Arabidopsis thaliana: one gene and its partners. The protein of the gene in region 3 interacts with the protein of the main gene of each other region in a pairwise test. Each region holds a gene or a part of one and is shown on either strand. Other genes may lie near its edges. The genes, in order: HAB1, HAB2 and RCAR3.

Region 1 (7,040 bases), on a different chromosome or scaffold from region 3:
GGAATGCAGCAGACTGCGTTTTCTGCGTTTCCCTATCAGACAATGCTCTAGGCAGCTCTATTTTTTCATCTGACCATGGGGTTTCTTGGGACTACATAATGTAATATCTAATGATTATTATTCACAACAATTGTCATCAACATGGAAGATAACAGTATCTTACGTTTTCTTTTTGGTTTGTAGTGTCTTTGTCCTTGTTAAACTGCTTCAATTCCAGTCTCAGTCTCCTCACCTCTGCTTCAAGATTTTGATTCTGTCAAAAAGGATAGACCATATCAAATCATGTTGACATTCTGCAAATCCAGGACCAAATTTATGTTCCTGAAAAGCTTTACCTGTTGTTCCACGTAATTTCCGACAAGTGGACTTTCCTGTGCATCAGTATGAAAACCAAGAAGGAAATGTCAGAACACTGAGAAACTGAACATTTATAAGAAAGTGACGATATACTACTAACCGTGGAAGTTGAAGAGATCGAGCTTCCGATGGTAGTGGAACTATCAGAGACGGTGTAAGAACTCACAGTTGATACCATATCACAACTTCCATTGTCAGTCTCTGACTGAGAGATTTCACTCATAGATTGCGGTGTTGAGATGCGAGGTGAATTAGGTTGGAAAAAATTTGAATTTGGTTTGTTGGTTTGTGTAGATACAGGTGATGATATTGATGCGCTGTAAAAAATGTAAACAAAATGAAAAGGCATACTTCACTAAATCCTGTTGAAAAGAAAACCATGGCCAATGGTTAGAAGAGAGTTGAGATTACCTGTCAGAGTCAATGGAGTTTGTTGAGTTGTACAACAAAGAAGAGAGATTTTGTTGTCTGGAAAGTTTATGACGGTGACTCGCGGATCTGCTTTTTAAAAGCTTACCTTTGGTCACAACAAAGACGGCACAAGTCTCTGGAGTCGTCTTAAGCAGAGTGGTTGGTACATCTGGACTCTGAAACTTTCTGATCACAAAGAAAAATTGAATGTTAGCATTTTGTATAACCAAAGTTGAGATGATACCAAGCATGAAACAGAGAAGAGGAGAGAGACTTAAGGAAGGAATTGCGTGCAGATGCGCCAACAACAAGATTTGCAATGTAATAATTGTTGGTGATGTAGTTGACAATAGCATTGGAGATGTCAATATCATGAAGAATAACCTCTTTTGCTATGATCTGAAAAGTGTGTATATACAAGAATGTCATGATCATATTTGATGCATTATAAGTGTGAAATGTTGTTGCAAGGAGATTGGAAATGATCGATTAATACTAACTCCTTTTCGAGCGCAGAATCCTCTGAAAGGAAGAAAGAATTCATGTGCCTCGTCCGGATTGTCCTGATGAAAATGTCCTCCTGTGTCTCCTACTGCAAAACATACTCCTAATTAGGGTGGCTCTTTGACGTTTTGGTTTCAATGATGAAGAGAAGAGCGAGAGATGCTTACGTTGAACGTGGATAAGGACACATTGTGGAGCATCAGCAACAATATTTTCAACGGCCCATTTCAAGGCGTGTTGGCTGTTCTTGTCCTTATCAATGGCGATCGCCGTGATACTGCCATAGTCCTCCGAGGTCCTTCTAACTCTTCTTGCAGACATGTTAGAATCTTGCTTCCCAAGAAACATGAATAACCTGCTTCACAAGGAAACTATAATACTCATAAATGATCTCATGTCTTCTTTGTCACAAAACACCCACAACCAAGATCGATTGTGTTGTTTTTCTTTTGTCTGGCTTTGCAACCTCAGAGAAGAAACAATGAACAATGAAAAGAAACAGAAAATTGTATTGTGAGATGATGAAGCTTTTAGTGGTTTTACAATTTTTCTAATTTTGGAGGGTTTATTTCTCAAACAACTCAACAGTCTTGTGAAACAAACAAACAAGAATGGAAATTTCCACAAGTCTCAACTTATCTTTAATTAGAGAGTGATTTTTGGGAAGTTGCTGGTGAGATCTAGTTTGTACTATAATGTACGCGTTTCGATTAAAATAAAATTCGATTATACATTATCAAAATATTAAATCGATTATTTTATCTTAATCAGTAAAACAAAGTTTTTAGATAAAAATATTAGTAAAACTAGTCAAACATATGGTTTAGTCTTTTAGGTTTATATAGACTAGAGGTTGAACCAAAAAAGAGAGTAAAATAGACTAGAGAATAGAATGTTATGTTTAAACATGATCACACATCTCAATTTACACACATTTACTTAATTTGAGTTTCGATAATAATGCAACAGCAATATATGTATCTACGAATTTGAAATTTATGAGTACAAAATCTAGAGGTGTAACAAAATATTTATTATTTTCGTCCCTGATCAATCAGAGTAGCCACGTGGGCGGGTGGTAGAAATCGAAATTATTGCGATTATTGACTTGGAAAAAAACAAACACACGTTGCATTTTTTGATTTACGTATCCAAAAAGAACAAAGAAAAAAAGGTAAACGACCAAATAATATAATTTTCTGGGGCTGTCGTCTTCCATCTTTATTTCTTCTTGGCGATATCACCATATCTTATACGTCTCTCGAAAGATTATTACTCTTAAGACGATTCCATTAAACACTGATTGTGAGAACTTGTACTTTAACGTTATCGAAAAGTATACATAAATATTTTTATTTTTTTAGGCTGATTCATTCTTACTGATAACAATAATTTTGTGTTATTCTTTCTTACCTAGAGAGTTCTATAGACAAGTTCGTAACTATAAAACCAATCTTTATTTCTTACTCATAGCTTTCAAAACTAAAACTTGATCAGTTTAAATAAAATATATGGGAAATTTTTGCTGAACCAATATATTACGTGTCAAGATTTCATTGATCCTATTAATACAATTTATTCATTTTACAGTTATATCAAATACAAATTACAACTAAGATACTCACTTATCTACACGTCAGATTGTACAACTAAGATACTCACTTATCTATATCTAATTTTCGTGGTTAATATTACATGTCAAAATTTTATGGAAATAATTAGTGTTTTTCTACTTTATATAAATTTTTATGATATATTTTTTTTTTAAAAAAAGGAAAGAGAAAGAAATCAATTTCCATTTGTAAACATATTTTTGGTTCTGAAAATAAATAAATGGGAAAAAAAGGAATTAAATAACATCTGTTGTTGTTAGCTGATCGACAGGTGTTGCCTGAAGCGACCTTAAAAAAAGAAAAAGGACAAAAAGTTGAAGAAAAAAAGAGGACAAAGTTCACAAAATGATACAAAGACTAATACGTGTCCTTTTATTAATCCTCTTTTGTAATAAATACTCTTTTTTCCTATAAATTATATTACAAAACCAAAGAAAAAAAGGAATAAAAAAAAACAGAGAGAAAAAGCAAACCACACAATATTCTCTTCTCTCTCTCTTTGTTTCGCTGATAGAGAGAGCCTCTCTCTAAGCAATTTAGCTCGAGCGAGAAATAATCCTGAGGGAAGAAAATAAAAAGAAGAAGAAGAAGAAGAACATCTTTACTTTTGTTCTCTCTCTCTCTTCTGTTCGATTTTAATTTTTTTGCAGATGCGAATATCTTCTAAAGATTCATCAACTGGTTAGTTCTTTCTCTCTTCTTTTTTCTTTCCTGATTTTTTTATGTTGTTTTTCTGTGTAGTTAGCTTTTCAATCGGAAGATTTTTGCTATTATGTGTCGAATCTCTCTTGTTGTTTTGAGCTTTGTGTTTAGTTTTGCTTAAGAACAAAGTTTAAATTCATCTTTCTATTTCTGGGTAAAGCTAAAGCTTCTTTTTTAATTTAGATCCAAGGAAACCCATGTTCTACTATATGATTATGGACGTTAATGGTTCGAATTTTTTAGGGCTTTCTTGTGATTGATTTCGCTGATTTTCCCTCCTTTTTCTGGTTTTTGTGTGAATTTTCTTTGACATGACCGTTTGGATAATGATTCGTGAGTTTTTGATTAGTGCTTTGTGATCTCTCAATAGGGTTGAAATCAAGATAAGGATTTGAGAAAAGATCGACGAAGTTGTTGCGATTTTGGGATCAAGAGAGTGATATAATCGAGTGAGGAGAATTCGTCGTATAGATTCGTCAGATCTGGTTATCTCCGGTACTTAATTCTCCTTGATTCGTCGTTTTAACTATGCTAAGTTAGTGTATGAATAAAGCGGCATTTGGGTCGCTGACAAAAACTTATTTGGAGCAAGGATTCTTCAACATCATGAAACCATTGCTTAGAGTATTCGAAGAAGAAGATGAAAACAATTGATTTCTCCTAAGTCCATCTTTGAAATTTAAAGCTTTGTTGTGGTGTGGTGTGGAAATCTCTGATTTTGGAGAGCTCATGGAGGAGATGACTCCCGCAGTTGCAATGACTCTTAGCTTAGCAGCCAACACCATGTGTGAATCATCACCTGTCGAGATCACTCAGCTAAAGAACGTTACTGATGCAGCTGACTTGTTATCTGATTCTGAAAATCAAAGCTTTTGCAACGGAGGGACTGAATGCACTATGGAAGATGTTTCTGAACTGGAAGAGGTAGGTGAACAGGATTTGTTGAAAACTTTATCCGATACGAGAAGCGGGTCTTCCAATGTTTTTGATGAAGACGATGTATTGTCTGTTGTGGAGGATAATAGTGCTGTCATAAGTGAGGGCTTGTTAGTTGTTGATGCAGGCTCTGAATTAAGCTTGTCTAATACAGCTATGGAAATAGATAACGGGCGAGTTCTTGCAACCGCGATTATCGTAGGCGAATCAAGCATTGAGCAGGTTCCCACCGCGGAAGTTCTTATCGCGGGTGTAAATCAGGATACCAATACTTCGGAGGTTGTCATTAGATTGCCAGATGAAAATAGTAATCATCTGGTGAAAGGGAGAAGTGTTTATGAACTAGATTGTATACCGCTTTGGGGCACGGTTTCCATTCAAGGGAATAGATCTGAGATGGAGGATGCTTTTGCCGTGTCACCTCATTTTCTGAAACTACCCATCAAAATGCTTATGGGGGACCATGAGGGTATGAGTCCAAGCCTCACACACCTCACCGGTCATTTTTTCGGTGTTTATGATGGTCATGGAGGCCATAAGGTATGCTATATTCACATTTTATGTAAGTTGTTTTAGCAATGTAGATTGTTATACACCTCTTTGAGATGTTCTGGTTAAATTCATAGATTTTAAATCTACAATGGCTTGTAGGTTGCTGACTATTGCCGAGATAGACTCCATTTTGCTTTGGCTGAAGAAATAGAACGTATAAAAGACGAATTATGCAAGAGGAATACAGGAGAGGGTAGGCAGGTGCAGTGGGATAAAGTCTTCACGAGTTGTTTTCTAACTGTCGATGGTGAGATTGAAGGAAAAATTGGTAGAGCCGTTGTTGGTTCTTCTGATAAGGTTCTTGAGGCTGTTGCGTCTGAGACCGTAGGATCAACTGCTGTTGTTGCCTTGGTTTGCTCATCACATATAGTAGTTTCTAACTGCGGTGATTCGAGGGCGGTTTTATTCCGTGGCAAAGAAGCCATGCCCTTGTCAGTTGATCACAAAGTAAAATGAACTTCCTTTTCTTTCCCCAATCTAACTTACAAAGTTGATAAAAGTGTTTTCTTACCTCCTTCCATTTTTCTGCAGCCAGATAGAGAGGATGAATATGCAAGAATAGAAAATGCTGGAGGCAAAGTTATACAATGGCAAGGCGCACGTGTTTTTGGTGTTCTCGCCATGTCTAGGTCCATCGGTAAGCATTGCTTCTTTTGATGACCAGTAATGCACATCACACAAACGTGGCTTGATAATGTAATTACTCCCCTACATGAAACATTAGATCCTCCGGTTTCTTTCCTCCTCTGGAACTATGCAGGTGACAGATATCTGAAGCCATATGTGATCCCAGAACCGGAAGTGACATTCATGCCTCGGTCAAGAGAAGACGAGTGTCTCATACTAGCCAGTGACGGTCTTTGGGATGTAATGAACAACCAAGAAGTCTGCGAAATAGCAAGGAGACGGATATTGATGTGGCACAAGAAGAACGGTGCACCGCCTCTAGCAGAGAGAGGCAAAGGAATAGATCCAGCTTGCCAAGCCGCAGCTGACTACCTCTCAATGCTTGCTCTACAAAAAGGAAGTAAAGACAACATCTCCATCATTGTGATTGACTTGAAAGCTCAAAGAAAGTTCAAGACCAGAACCTGAAGCTTAATTACAAGCAGTACGCTTACTTACTTTTTTTTTTACTGGGGGTAAGTTTCGAGTTTTCGTATAATTTAGATCGTTAAGGATCTAATTTCGACAGGTTTTTACATGTTAATTACTCAATATTGTTAGAAGGGAGAAAAAATAAAGAAAAAAAATGGAAATGCGGGTTGGGGAGGAGAAGTAAAGACTAAAGACTGAAGATTAAGAAGATGATGCATAGCTAATTATAAGTACATTCCTTTTTTTCTCATGGTACTTGAATTCGTATGTATAAGAAGAAATAGGCAGAGAAATGCTTTTTTTTTTTGGGGTATTGAAATAGTTGAATATGTTGTAATAGTTTGAGAGATGTGGCAAATGAAATTGTAATTGAAACTATGTCACATTAACCTTCTTGCATTTGTCTTTTCATGTTGTGTTCTTCGCTGTTCTATAACTTAACGGTGAGATGAGAGTTTATTGGGGGTTTAACCACAGGTCGATTTTTATTTTGATGTTAAGTATTGATAAAGCAATACACTTAGCAAAAGGTGGACGTGCCGGAGTGGTTATCGGGCATGACTAGAAATCATGTGGGCTTTGCCCGCGCAGGTTCGAATCCTGCCGTTCACGTTTTTCATTTTTTTTTCTGTTATCATCACATTTTCCATAACTTACCTTAATCATCTAACATTTTAGAGTCTTTACGAAATGTTAATATTTCTTTTCTTAAATTGAGTAGAAATAGAAATCAACCTCATACCTACAAATGTGGAAGTGACGTGTGAAACCGTAAGTGTATTTAAATCAAACTTAGAAAGCTGTTAATCATTGGCACCACATAAAATCTAGCTTGTGAGAGAAAGTTTATCGTTTTTAGATAAGTTA
Region 2 (7,040 bases), on a different chromosome or scaffold from region 3:
AAAAGTAAAGAAAGACGCTATCCCAAAAGGTAAAGTGAAGAAAGGGATGGTCGTGTACGGTGTGGTTGTGCGTGCTGCGATGCCTAAAGGACGTGCTGATGGAAGCCAAGTCAAGTTTGATGACAATGCCATTGTAGTTGTTGGCATTAAGGAAAAGAAAGGGCAGAATAATTCACATGGTTCCAAGAGGAAAATGGAGTACAACCAACCGACTGGTACCCGAGTGTTTGGTCCTGTCCCGCACGAGATGCGCCTCAGGAAACAGCTCAAGATCCTTTCTTTGGCTCAGCACATTGTTTGAGACAATACACCACACTAAAACATCAGTTATGATCTCCTTTATGTGACTCTCTTTGATCCATTCATCACTTGGGTTTCTGTTGATTCTTCAACTATCCAACTCATTATTTTTGTTAATTCTAATGAATTATGAAACCTTAACGTACCAATTATGATCTCTTATTTAGGTTTCTTTTAATTGTTAAACTCTACTCTCTTAGTAAAAAAAGCAGGGGAAATAGCTTTAAACAACCATCCTTCTCCAAACCCTTCACTTAGTTTTCATGTTTGATACAGCATCCCTCATTAAACACTTTGGAATCAATATTACCTGTTGTATAACAATAACAATAGAAAAGACAATAATAACTCTTTCACAACAAGTATTTATATATAATAGATTACAGAAAAGTATTAAGGTGAATGTGACATAAATTTCAGTTACAATTCCTTAAGCCACATCTCCAATATTACAACAACATATCCACCTACAAGACTCCAAAGTAAAAACATTTCTTCTCTATTCTTCTTATACATAACAAACATACACATTCAAGTCCATGAGAAAAAGGAATGGACTTCAGCTATGCATCAAGGTCTTAATTCTTCTTCCCCCCAACATTTCACTTCTTATTTTTATGTAAACTTGTGGAAATTTTTTCAATAAATAAGAAATAATAAAATTATAATAGTGTAAGAGCTCGAGCATACACTGTTTCAAGATCTGGTCTTGAACTTTCTTTGAGCTTTCAAGTCGATCACTATGATTGAGATATTGTCTTTGCTTCCCATTTGAATAGCGAGTTTGGAGAGATATTCAGCCGCAGCTTGACACGCTTGGTCTTCTCCTACACCTCTCTCAGCTAAAGGCAATGCTCCATTCTTCTTGTGCCAAGCCAAGATCCGCCTCCTCGCAAAATCGCAAGCTTCTTGGTTACTCATTACGTCCCAAAGTCCATCACTGGCCAATATTAGACACTCGTCTTCTCTAGCTCGTGGCATAAACGTCACTTCGGGATCTGGTATTACAAATGGCTCCAGATATTGATCACCTGAAAACGATGCAGATTGAAACCCACTTTCAGGAGATCTCATGATTTTGCAGAGACTGTAACAGGTAGTAATGATCCTCATCTCTAAATAAGGTTACTGAATGTTTAATTTATCGATAATTTTGACCTATAAAACTCTCTTCATATTTCTGTCACTAGGCAAGATGGAAGACATAAGTGCAAGTTTGACCTACCGATGGACCTGGACATGGCAAGAACGCCAGAAACACGAGCGCCTTGCCATTGTATAACTTTTCCTCCAGCTTTCTCTATTCGTGCATACTCATCCTCTCTATCTGGCTGCAGAGAAAGGGTAAGAAATTTCATGAATTAGAAATAAGAAACTTTCTCAGATTGTGTTAAATTATTTTAGAGGGAAAGAGAAGATTTTTTACTTTGTGATCAACTGATAAAGGCATGGAGTCTTTGCCTCGGAGTAAAACTGCTCTTGAGTCACCACAGTTTGAGACTATTATATGCGATGAACAAACCAAAGCAACCACAGCAGTCGATCCAACGGTTTCAGGGGAAACAGCTTCAAGAACCATCCTATCAGAAGAACCAACAACAGGTCTGTTGATTTTCCCTTTAACCTCATCATCGACTTTTAGGTAACAATCTACAAAGACTTTCTCCCACTGGACCTGCCTACCCTCGCCAGTGTTCCTCCTACACAATTCCTCTTTAATCCGTTCGATTTCTTCAGCCAAAGCAGAGTGGATTCTATCATGGCAATAGTCAGCAACCTGCAAGAATCCGATTTCCACCAAAGCCGTCATATATTACATAACAACCTGCAAAGAATCCCGTTTCCAGCAAACCCTTTATCATATATACATACAACCTACGTCAACAAAACATAAACTCATGTATCTTCCGGGTTCATAGTTGAATTAACTTTCTACTGCTAAAATCAGTATAAGGATTTACGAACTACAGCATACCTGAGCGCCTCCGTGGCCATCATATACACCAAAGAAGTGACTAGTGAGATATGGGAGACTTGGACTCATCCCTTCATGATCCCCCATAAGCATTTTGATGGGTATTTTGAGAAAATGAGGTAAAGCTCTAACAGCATCCTCCATTTCAGATCTTCCACCGCAAATTGAAATCGTGCCCCAAAGAGGTATACACTCTAGTTCATAAACACTCCTGCTTCCTCTTGCTACATTAGGATTTTCTTCAGGTAACCTAATGACTACCTCAGAAGTTGCCACCTCCATATTCACATCGTGATTCAGACTCGCAATAAGGACTTCTGCAGTGGGAACCTGTTCTATGGTTGTCTCGTTTAGGATAATGGCCGTAGCAAGAACTCGCCCGTTATCAGTTTCAACTGTATCTGGCAAACTTATCTCAGACCTAGCGTCCACAACTATTAAACCTTCGCTAATAATAGTCGCATCAGATACTAATGGCTCATCTTCTTCTGATTCCTGGACAGTTACACTAAAATCAGAAGACAAACTTCTCACTTCAGATAAAGTCTTCTCTTCTGAAACACTTCCCATAATACAATCCACCACTCCATTACTATATCTTTGTCTTTTCTGATTACACAACATGTCAGCTGCATCAGTAACATTCTCCAGCTCGGAGATATCGAAAGTAGATGAGATTCCAGAGTCACACATCGTATTAGCTAAACCCAAAGTAAGTGCAACTGCAGGTGAAATCTCTTCCATGAGCTGGTATGCAGCTTCCAAACCTCAACTGGAGCAAAACGATTCAAAAAACTTCATTTTCTTCTCTAAGCTATAGTCTGATGAACTCTACATCCAATTCAGCTTCCCACCGAGACCCACCAGCCGTTTATTCTCACCAACTAATCCAGAAAGCAGTGAATGACGAAGAAGTATGTACCTCCGCTGAACAGATCTGACGGATCTATGAAGACGGATCCTTTGTGAATTCGTGGGATTTTGATCACTCTAACGATCCTCTATAACTCTTGATCTTCATCGAATCAGAAAGACAATAAACTCACACAAACCCTAATTTAGAAACCCACAAAAAAAAAATCAGCCTTTTTCAGATAGATCACACAAGAGAGCAGAGAGAAGACACAAAGGTGAAAACTTTATCCAAAACAAAAACAAAAGTCAGGTGAAATTGAAGAGAAGGGACAACAAACAGAGAGAATTGATATCAATCAGCGAAATGAATCACAAAACACACAGAAAAACCTAAAAAAGTCGAAACCTTTATCTCTCTTATCTTTCCAAAACGAAACGAAACATGGGTTCTCCTGGATCTAATGAGGTTTTTACCCAAAAAATAAAATTAGAAAAATTATAAGCACTCCACGGAATCCCAAGTTTCTTTATGTGACAACGACCTTCATTATTAACACGTTGCTCCAATCAATTATAAAACTAATTTATTAATCTATTCAATAATGGCAACATAGATGACGCGTGTCCTTCCCTCTTAAAGGTCAAGTCTTCTGTTTATTCTTCTAATTTAGTTTTTTGATCCAAGATTGAAAGTATGTTCATGACATATGTTCATGCATCTCATGACACATGTAGTGTTATCATAACGTGGTTAAAAAATAGACAACGAAAGACTTTTCTCGGAGACCAAAGTTTGAAATGGGCCTACATTAAGGCCCAGTCAGCGTCACTTATATGGGCTCTAGCGTCCACTTGTTTACATTAAGGTAAGAAACTTCATTAGCTCTGTCTCAGCTTTTATACTTTCTGATCAACTGATAAAGGCATGGATTCTTTGCCGCGGAGTAAAACCACTCTTGAACCACCACAGTTGGAAACTATGATATGTGATGAGCAAACCAAAGCAACAACAGCAGTTGATCCGACGGTCTCAGGGGAAACAGCCTGAAGAACCATCCTATCATCAGAAGAAACAGAACCAGAAACAGGTCTGCTTCTTCTGTGGCCATCATAAATTCCGAAGAAGTGACTAGTGAGACATGTGAGCGTTGGACTTATTATCCCTTCATGATCACACATAAGCATTCTGATAGGTAGTTTGAAAAATGAGATAAAGCTCTAACAGCATCCTCCATTTCACCGCAGATTGACACAGTGCCCCAAAGAGGTATACACTCTAGCTCATAGACACTCCACCTCCTTCCTCTTTGCTACATTATCATGATGACTTGTAGTAATAAGGACTTGTGTTGTGGGAACCGCATCATCATTCAGGATAATGGACGTAGCAAGAACTCGCCCATGATCCTCTATTCCACTTCCATTGTAGCGTCCACAACTATTATTAAATTCCACACTCGCTTGTACACGGCTGTTTGTTATACGAAAATCATTATTAGCTATATATTATATACTCCATATGGTTTCTTTGAAATATCAAAGGTCCTCCTCATCAGCGACATGAATCACACACAAAAGACAAAGTCCTTCAAACTCAAACCCTTTTGCCCTTTCAAAACCAAACAGGTTACCCCAAGATATTTAACACGTTCGTCGAAACAATTATAAAACTAATTTCAACCTTTGGATTTCCTCATGGTCTTCTTCTTTCTTCTAAAAGATCAAGACTGCCTATAATTCCAAATTTATCTAGTTTACATATATATCAATATAAGATGCCATTACACAAATCTAAAAATAAAAAATCCTCTTTTTGTCTACAAGATATGATATGGAATATCCTTTAAAGATAAGTCGTCAACTAAAATTAAAAAAATCCTCTTTTTGTCTGCCTCTCTGTTCGTTATGACTGTTTAGATTGTTGGAGAAAAGAAAAACCTTCTAATTTTAGCAAAGTGCCAAAACCATTATAAGTTTAAATTTTCTCAACAAACAAAACAGCTCTCCTCTCCTCTTCTCTTCTTAATTCCTTGTTATCATTTTCATTATCATTCGGTCTCCTTATTTCCTCCTTCTGAGGGTAATTGAAAGACCGTACCACAATGTCTTTCTAGTTTCTCCAGAAGCAAAAGTTTCCAGCAATCATCTCGAGGGCTGAGAAACAATGGCTGCAAGAAGACTCAAAGGAAAAGACAGCAAAGCAGTTACCGCCATAGCCATTGATAAAGATAAGAACAGCCAACACGCTTTGAAATGGGCTGTTGAGAATATCATCATCGATTCTCCAAACTGTATCCTTCTCCATGTTCAAACCAAACTGAGTACGTAATGGCATCATCATCATCATCATCATTGTTATCAATCCATCAATCTAATGAAAACTCTTGAAACAGGATTTGGGGCAGGAGAAAACACAGAAGCACCACATGACAACCAAGAAGAGGCGCATCAGTTCTTCCTTCCCTTTAGAGGATTCTGTGCTCGGAAAGGGGTCAGATATCAACCTCTCTTTCTCCTTACAACAATCACATATATATATATATATACACATAGCTCTCACCGACCTCATTAATTATATATTTTCTCTCAGATTATAGCAACGGAGGTTCTTCTTCACGATATTGACATCTCGAGTGCAATTGTTGACTACATCACCAACAATTCCATTTCAAATATAGTCATTGGAGCCTCTGCTCGAAATTCTTTCCTCAAGTCTCTTTCTTTCTCTCATATAACCTAAACTGTAATCTTAATCTGAATGCTAAATCCTATAACTCTCTGTGATTTATGGTCTTAATCAGGAAGTTTAAGAGCGTAGATGTGCCAACGACTCTGCTTAAAACAACACCAGATACATGTGCTGTCTTCATTGTGTCTAAAGGGAAGCTCTTAACAAGCAGATCAGCGAGTCGGCCTCAGACACCTCAAGGTCCTCACACGCCTCAAGGTCCTCAGACACCTCAAGCTCCTCAACACCCTCCTCATCCTTCAAAACATCCCTCAATGATGTCTGATCCTGGCCCAACAAGTTCCACTTCCAGTGAATCCGGAAGGTAATTAATGAACTCAAATTTTATCCGGTTGTCTTGTGAATGAATGCCTTTTTTGCTTCATAGTAGTCATTGGGTTTGCCAATCTTGCAGGTCATCTCCTGCATTGAACGGAGAATTATCTCCACCTACACCTCATTACAAGCCATCTTTGTATAGGAGTTCTATGTCAGAGCTTAGTAATGAATTTCCCAGCGATCACAGTGCTGAATCAAATGCTAGCTTCTACAGCATCCTAGGACGATCCACATATGGAGGAAGCTCACACTCTTCCATGGTTAGTATTCCCATCACGTTTCAAATCGATATTCTTACCACCTATTTGCCTGGCGTTGACATTTTTTTTTCGAATCTGTAGTCTGAGATAACTGATGGAGAGGAAAGCTTATCTGGGGGCAATATCACTGAACACCAGGTAAAATTAATGTTTCAGAAAAGTAGATATAGTGTTTCGGTTATGCTGAGTGTCAGATGCATGATTCTGAGATGTTTGTGTTCTTTGTGCATGACTATGATCAGAATCAAAATCTTGAAGCAGAAGTGAGAAGATTGAGATTCGAATTGCAGCAGTTTAATGCTTCCATGTCCAGAGAAAGTGTAAGATACTTACTTCCATGAGCACAACCGAGAATGTTTCCTTGAACAGGTCCCAAAGATGAGTGACTAATATCAGACATTGAATGAATGCTTGTAGGCCCCTCATCTTCTAGGACCTAGAGCTACCGCCGAAACTGAAAGGCTGGAGGAAGCAAAGGCAGCAAGAGAGATGCTTAGGGCATTGTCTGAGATGGACAAGCAAAAAACACAGACTGCGATCCAAGCAACTGAAGTGGCACAACGTCTAGCGGAAATAGAGACCC
Region 3 (7,040 bases):
TACCCAGTCCGGATGTCCGTGGACGCGAAGAGATTTTGGAACTCTACCTCCAAGGCAAACCTATGTCAGAAGATGTTGATGTTAAAGCAATTGCTCGTGGAACTCCTGGATTCAATGGTGCTGGTGAGTTTCTTAAATCTATAACTACAGTTTAGTCACCCTGAAATTCAGAAGTGTCTTCTTTTGTCACTAACCTATGAAGATTCAATGACTCACCACATTTTTCCCAATCTCACCAAACTTTTTTCCAGATCTTGCAAACCTGGTAAATATTGCTGCCATAAAAGCAGCTGTTGAAGGTGCTGAGAAGTTATCTTCTGAACAGTTGGAATTCGCAAAGGACCGAATTGTCATGGGCACAGAGAGGAAGACAATGTTCGTATCAGAGGACTCAAAAAAGGTATATTCCAATATCTTAACAACATAGAAGTGTTTGGATGTGGAGTTCAAACATGATATGACCTGTCACTTACTTCTTTGCCTCTTTAGCTCACTGCATACCATGAGAGTGGTCATGCTATTGTCGCTTTAAATACGAAAGGTGCGCACCCGATCCACAAAGCGACTATAATGCCACGTGGATCTGCATTGGGAATGGTTACACAGTTACCTTCAAACGATGAAACATCAGTGAGCAAGAGGCAGTTATTAGCTCGTCTCGATGTATGTATGGGAGGAAGAGTTGCAGAGGAGCTCATCTTTGGCTTGGACCATATTACCACTGGAGCGAGTAGCGATCTGTCACAGGCCACTGAACTTGCACAATACATGGTAACCTCATGTACATGTGCTTAATTGCTTCTTTTTTTCTGGTTTATCAAAAGAGTTAGCCTTTGGTTCTTTTAGTTTTCTGGAATGAGGTTTGAGGGACTTAGTCTCTGAGATCCTTAAGGTGAACTTACAAGTTAATGCGAGAAGATGGATCTTACCTCTTGTTGTAGTTGTAGTAATGCTTTTCTTTTTAATGGAAGGTATCGAGTTGTGGGATGAGTGAGGCAATAGGACCAGTTCATATAAAAGAAAGACCAAGCTCTGATATGCAATCACGCATTGATGCCGAGGTAGAGACTCTCTATTCACTTTTTTTAGTTCCCTCATTCAAATCCCATTGGTCCTAAATCTAATCATTCATCTGGTGGTGTTGATACATGTATAGGTTGTGAAGCTTCTTAGAGAAGCATATGAGAGAGTGAAATCTCTCTTGAAACGGGTTTGTGCCAAGTTTACAGATAGTCGCATTTTTTACTGGATCAAAATTGTTTAATCTCACTTCGATTTTGTGTGTGTGTGTGTGTGTGTGTGTGTGTGTGTTTCCCCAGCATGAGAAGCAGCTACACACGTTAGCAAACGCACTTCTAGAGTATGAAACGCTAACCGCAGAGGACATAAAGCGTATTCTCCTTCCAAAGCAGGAAGGCGAGAAATTTGAAGAGCAACAACAAGAAGAAGGAGACTTGGTATTGGCCTAATCACATCATTCATTACCATAAACACACTTCTTTGGGTGAAAAAGGGAGATTCAAAGCTTTGTACAGAGTAAATCTCCCATAGCTTCTACAACAACAACCAAAAGAAAAACATATGAAATTATTGATCTCATGTTACAAAATTATTGTAGTTTTTATTTCATTAGCTCATTAGTTTTCGCTTCGACCTTGAACCTTTTGCCCTTTTTGACATTCTGTTCAATTCTATGAAGAAAAATGTAAAACAACATTGAAAAGAAAGTAATAATTGTTGTCTTTATTCTCTGATGTGATTTTGAAAGCCAATGAATCTTATTGCAGCTTACAAGGTCCTCTGATGAAATTACATGTATTGTTTGGAACAAAATTGAAAGAAAACATATAGAAGCAATTCTAATGATACCACCTGTCAATGTGACCGATTCGAATATTTATCCACTACTGTAATTTAGGAAAAAAGAAACAGAAACACTTTGGCATTGTAAAAATAGTATACAAAACTTTTTACAGCTAATGGAGCTAAAGTGTGTTTCCCCAATCACAAGTCAAGACAAAATCTATAAACAACAACAAAGATCTCTTTCCTTAATGGTCCTTTGTGGAGATTTTTCACATCTCACAAACCCTATTGGTTCATCTTTAAAAGTAGAAAAAATAAATATAAGAAAGACGGTGTGTGGCCTTTATGGGTGCAACTAAAAGTGTTAAAAAAGGAAGAAGAGAGTGGAACCCCATGATCACACACACTTTTAACATGTCTTCTCTGCAAATTGTAAAAAGATTCCTGCAAGTTGCTAAAGCTAAACTCCAAAATCATATTTTGGTTCTATAGAGAAGAAACCAAAAACACATTCATTAAATTAGACACATGAAATTAAAAAGAGGGTTTGAAAGTGAAATGACCCCAAAAATAGCAAATGAGAAACTTATTATGTAACTGGATAAATGATGATACTTTTTTTGCCTTGTCCATCCTCAAAGAAACTCACCCACTCTCTCTTTTTCCCTTTGAGAGCTTCATCCATGGCAACCAAAATCTCTCTGATTCAATAGTTTCTTACTCCTTTGATCTTTAGACTCTCGATTCTGTCGTGTCTTGAACCGCAAGACGTTCAGAGATATCAGCTAAAGATTTAAGATTGCATTTGATTAAAGCTTCAACAAAGTAACAAGTCTCATCCTTTGTGTTTCCTTCTGGTACATCAACCACAAATGACTCAATCACAAGTGTTCCTATTCTTCCTTCTATAGTCTCGGGGTGAAGAGAGATGATTGAAGAATAGTTCTAAATCCAAAAACAATATAGAACATATAAGTCTTTGATTCACTGTAAACAGAAAACGAACCTTTTGATTCATTGATTACCTTAAGTCTATGATCACCACCAACGATTCTGATACTGAGAATATGCTCATTGTCATCAAGTAACTCCAATCTCTCAGTGCTTCTAGTTGCTGGTAGTCCAGATTTCACATCAACTTCTCTTACTGTACCAATCTCCATGTTTCCTTTCACCACACATCTACTGATAAACGGCTTATACTTCTGTGGCTGATCAAATCTTCTCACAAGTGACCACACCTATTCACCAGAGAGATTCAAACTAATCCATAAGCGTTTTTGGGAGCTTTTTTTTCCAATAAAGCAAAACCAGATCAAACAAACTCAGATTGGGATTACACAAATGCTATGTAAGCTTTCAATAATTAGAAACCAATCGATTCTTCATCAGTAAGATCAACAATCGATGAAAATAGAGAGAGATTTCAAATTCTGGATTGAATCAACAATAAGAAGAACCGATTAACTTAAACAGAGAAAATCAGAGCGCATGAAGGAAGAAGAAGAAGGGAGAAGCTTACAATATGAACAGGAGCGTTGATATGTTTAACAAGCGTAGAGCTACACTGATTATCCACAAGCTCATGCTTATGATGTCTCCTTATAAACTCTCTTTCCTGATTCGGATTCGTCAAGTTCTCAATCCCGTTAGCTTCCATCTTCTTCCTCCGTCTTAAGCCACGGTTTCTCAATACCTCCGCGTCGGATACGACAAACAAACAAAAAACAAGGCCAAATTCGTCGCGCAGAAGAGAGTGAAAAGCAGCACAACAAAGGAAAAGATAAGATTGAGCTGAGAATCGTAAGAGATCTGATCTCAGAGAGAAGTTTTTTTCCGGCGAGATCTTCCGATGAAAGCGTTACTGTGAAGAAATGATAGATTATACAGTCGCCGTCTTTGGAGGGAGATAAGAAGAAGATGAGAGAAAGAGAAAGAGAGAGAGAGAGAGACGAATCCTCCAACAAACTTTTTTTCTCTCTCCTTTTTATAATATTTAAATAAAAAGACTCAGTGAGAGATTTTTATAAAAAAAAAGAAAAAGATTGATTGGATGGTATTGGACTAAAGGAGTAAAGGTCTTTCTCTGATTTCACTACTCTCATTGGATGCTTTCTTCTATTATCCCACTATTTTCTCTTTATTTTCGATTTTGCCCCTCGTTGTCGTTTTTCTGTGTTTTATTTACCGTTTTTAGTTTTACCCCTCAAGTGTGGTAATTATTTAATGTTGATCCTTAAAGTATTGTTTAAGCCTATGAGAGCTGACTCAATTATTGGATAGTTTTTTTTTTTTTTTTCTTGGGTGCTTTTTCATTTGGATAAAAGACTTGTTTTGACAAAAAAAAAAAAGGATTAAAGATTTTGAAATGGTTATAGATTTTTTGAAATTGTTTATGGCTTAAGTTTTTTCCAAAAATCTACTTTATAGCCAATTAAGATTGGGAGAAATGGTTTTCCTTATAAAAATAAGGAATCTAGATTTTTAAAGGAAATCTAAAATCTATGTTTCATTGGTTTTTCACTTTTTAACGCTATAACTTTTTCATATTTAGTTTCAAATATATATATATATATATATATATATATATATATATATATATATATATATAATTAATGCAAAAATCTAAAAACTATAAACCAAATCCAAAAACCACTTAATAACTTGCAAACTGTTTTCTTTTGTTAATGTGTACTTATATTTTAGGTTTTCTTGTTATTGGGATTATAGTATTAGTGGTGTACTGTAAAATGTTTGTGTATGTGTGTGTATATAGTAGAATGAATTCGATCAGATCAGCATATAGTTCGTGTACTTGACTGTGATCAGACTCAAAGAACAATTCAAATTGTCGAAAATATACTAATTTAAATTGATGAAAATACTACAAAATTTCAGAGAGATTGTTATAATGCAAACCAAACATAGGGCTTAACCAGATTATGCTCGTTAACCTTTAGCTGAAGAAGAGATAGTACACATATTATACGGATGGTCACATTACTAGGTGCATGGAGGTATATTGATGTCCCAATTAGACATATAATCACTAGTTAAAAGTGTGCTTAACACCCCCGAGCCAGACCATGATCAATGCAGATTCGGGGCCTTTGAAGCAAACTACAAAGGACCAAATCTTTTTTTAGGATTAGAACGACAAATCAGGTACTAAGTACAAATTACAAGAACTTCTTTAGGTATATGATAAAAATAGTAAACATCTATTATTCCAAGTATTAAAAATAGCTAAAATTTAATGATTATACATGCACTGCAGTTATTATGGTTATCATCCAAATTTTATTCTAACCATTTAACATCGATTGTTTCGTACGTTTTGTCAGTTCCATACCAATGATTTGTATTATGTTCTCTTTGTTTCGTCTAATCCGGTTTTCTGCATCATCACCAATTCCAGTATTCACTCTCATTCGACTCATAATATGAAGTAAAAGTTCGTAAACTATTAAGTTGGACTTCGCTTTATTTTTTCGCATTCTGACAATAGTATCTTGTTTTGATCATTTACAGTATAATATTAGTATCTTATAACCACTAAGGCCAGAATAGTAAGTATATAGTTTGATCATTTAATTTACACAATCCTTTATCCAAAAAATATATTGTATACAGTATCATATATAGGGTTTGCTTCACAGTCTTAACTTTTCCTGACTCGAAGAGCCAATCTCGAGAGAGCAAAAGGTCCCACGTGCTTTATCCAACACTCTTTATTAAATCCTGAATAAAAGTATCTCAAAGTGACAAAGATTTCTATAACATAAAAAGGTTTGGCTCTTATAAGTCATATCTAGAAAAAGAAAATTCGTTGCTAACTTTGTAACGTGCTAAAGTATTCTCGAAAATACTACTACCTCAAGATTAAAGTACACAAAAAAAAAAAATTGGATACCCATAGTTTCTTTTTAAGATTGGGCTTGGAGCTTGCAGGTGGGCTCTCAGGAATGTATATCGGAGATTTTGAGTGTGGTCAAGGAAGGTGTTGAGTTTGCCTTCCATTTGCAACCCGACTCTCAGTGCCTGACATCATTGGCATGTAAGACTGATGACTCTCTGAGCAAATAGGAAGCTCTCTGCTAATAAATAACTTTATGTATATGCTCTTGTTTGCTTGCTGGTTGCATATATAAAGTTATATAAATCCATCATTTCAAGTTTAGACATTACCACCATGAAATATCTATACTTAGATATTATCCTTTCAATCAACATAGACCATACTTCATTCATTAGCATAAACAAAACAACCAAAACACTTGTTTGATTTCTATCACTCAAGAGCCTTAATATCTTACATTAAGGACAAAGAAGTGAGTATCTCATAAATAGTAAGTCGATTGATTGGATGTAAAAGGACAATCACCTTTGTAAAGTGGGAATGTTTAGATTCACTTCATGTGTCGATATTAGTATAAATAGTATGACAACGACGATTATATATATAGAAATAGTATTATCCAATTAAATATATTAAAGAAGATGAGAAAAAGAGAGAGAGAAGTGGACCTACAAACAAAAGGTGTGGAAGAGATGAGAATAGAAAGAAAAAAATTAAACTCATAATAAAGAGACAAGTGAGGATCATGTGTTGCATCTATCTTTTGTTTTTGACCATTTCAGCTATAGAAACGTGAACACCATTAATGGCTTATGAATCAAAATCTCACACTTCTTCTTTATTCAGATACATGAGAAAAAGATGATGTGAGTCAAAAATTTCTCACTACTAGTCTACAATTTCTAAAAGTTCGCTGTTAAAGTCCTTTTTACGAAAACAGAGAACGTTGTAGCTTTGAAACAGAGATCTCAGTTGCATATAGGAGGCACAAATTTATCTTGAAATATCAAAGTTGGCCTCTTACTCAAACACAATGGCATGCCGACAAAAGTTTGATGCCTAAGTAAATGATAAGAAGACGCTGACAAGAAACAAACTTAACCAGATTGAGAGATATCAGTTGCATATATGAGGCACAAATTCTAAAACAAGGACCAAGTCGGTGCATGCTTAAATGGGCTGGTCTCAAAATGGACCGGTTTGGCCAATCACAAATTCACAACCACCAAATTCACTAAACATGACAATGAACTTCAAAATGAATGCTTCAAAGATAAAAAAAGTAACAAATAACCATAACCACCATATATATATTCGAATCCCAAACTGAGTTCTTACAAGATTCTTTCTGGTCTATTGAGTAAATACCAAAATA

What was found.
Region 1: the proteins of RCAR3 (region 3) and HAB1 interact in binary tests that used the Arabidopsis thaliana proteins (3 or more experiments, as listed by UniProt).
Region 2: the proteins of RCAR3 (region 3) and HAB2 interact in binary tests that used the Arabidopsis thaliana proteins (3 or more experiments, as listed by UniProt).

What each region holds. Positions count from the first base shown.
Region 1 is NC_003070.9:27,386,682-27,393,721, forward strand, and holds HAB1 (HYPERSENSITIVE TO ABA1), read left to right. Parts: upstream 1-3,266; 5' UTR 3,267-3,566; intron 3,567-3,957; 5' UTR 3,958-4,316; coding exon 4,317-5,063; intron 5,064-5,174; coding exon 5,175-5,522; intron 5,523-5,606; coding exon 5,607-5,712; coding exon of another isoform or gene 5,713-5,732; exon of another isoform or gene 5,733-5,835; coding exon 5,836-6,170; 3' UTR 6,171-6,646; downstream 6,647-7,040. Other genes in the region: AT1G72760 (Protein kinase superfamily protein), read right to left, coding at 1-91, 164-253, 336-371, 458-674, 769-954, 1,043-1,167, 1,269-1,360, 1,440-1,620. UniProt on the Arabidopsis thaliana protein: Key component and repressor of the abscisic acid (ABA) signaling pathway that regulates numerous ABA responses, such as stomatal closure, seed germination and inhibition of vegetative growth. Confers enhanced sensitivity to drought.
Region 2 is NC_003070.9:6,030,896-6,037,935, reverse strand, and holds HAB2 (homology to ABI2), read right to left. Parts: upstream 3,667-7,040; 5' UTR 3,020-3,666; coding exon 2,276-3,019; intron 2,078-2,275; coding exon 1,727-2,077; intron 1,632-1,726; coding exon 1,526-1,631; intron 1,332-1,525; coding exon 997-1,331; 3' UTR 538-996; downstream 1-537. Other genes in the region: HLL (Ribosomal protein L14p/L23e family protein), read left to right, coding at 1-301; AT1G17545 (Protein phosphatase 2C family protein), read right to left, coding at 4,028-4,348, 4,427-4,629, 4,812-4,827; AT1G17540 (kinase with adenine nucleotide alpha hydrolases-like domain-containing protein), read left to right, coding at 5,295-5,451, 5,524-5,621, 5,721-5,842, 5,932-6,183, 6,274-6,457, 6,539-6,595, 6,700-6,777, 6,875-7,040. UniProt on the Arabidopsis thaliana protein: Key component and repressor of the abscisic acid (ABA) signaling pathway that regulates numerous ABA responses, such as stomatal closure, seed germination and inhibition of vegetative growth.
Region 3 is NC_003076.8:21,557,452-21,564,491, reverse strand, and holds RCAR3 (regulatory components of ABA receptor 3), read right to left. Parts: upstream 3,892-7,040; 5' UTR 3,467-3,891; coding exon 3,329-3,466; intron 3,048-3,328; coding exon 2,832-3,047; coding exon of another isoform or gene 2,752-2,831; coding exon 2,539-2,751; 3' UTR 1,783-2,538; downstream 1-1,782. Other genes in the region: FTSH11 (FTSH protease 11), read left to right, coding at 1-123, 252-400, 490-771, 972-1,061, 1,157-1,210, 1,320-1,469. UniProt on the Arabidopsis thaliana protein: Receptor for abscisic acid (ABA) required for ABA-mediated responses such as stomatal closure and germination inhibition.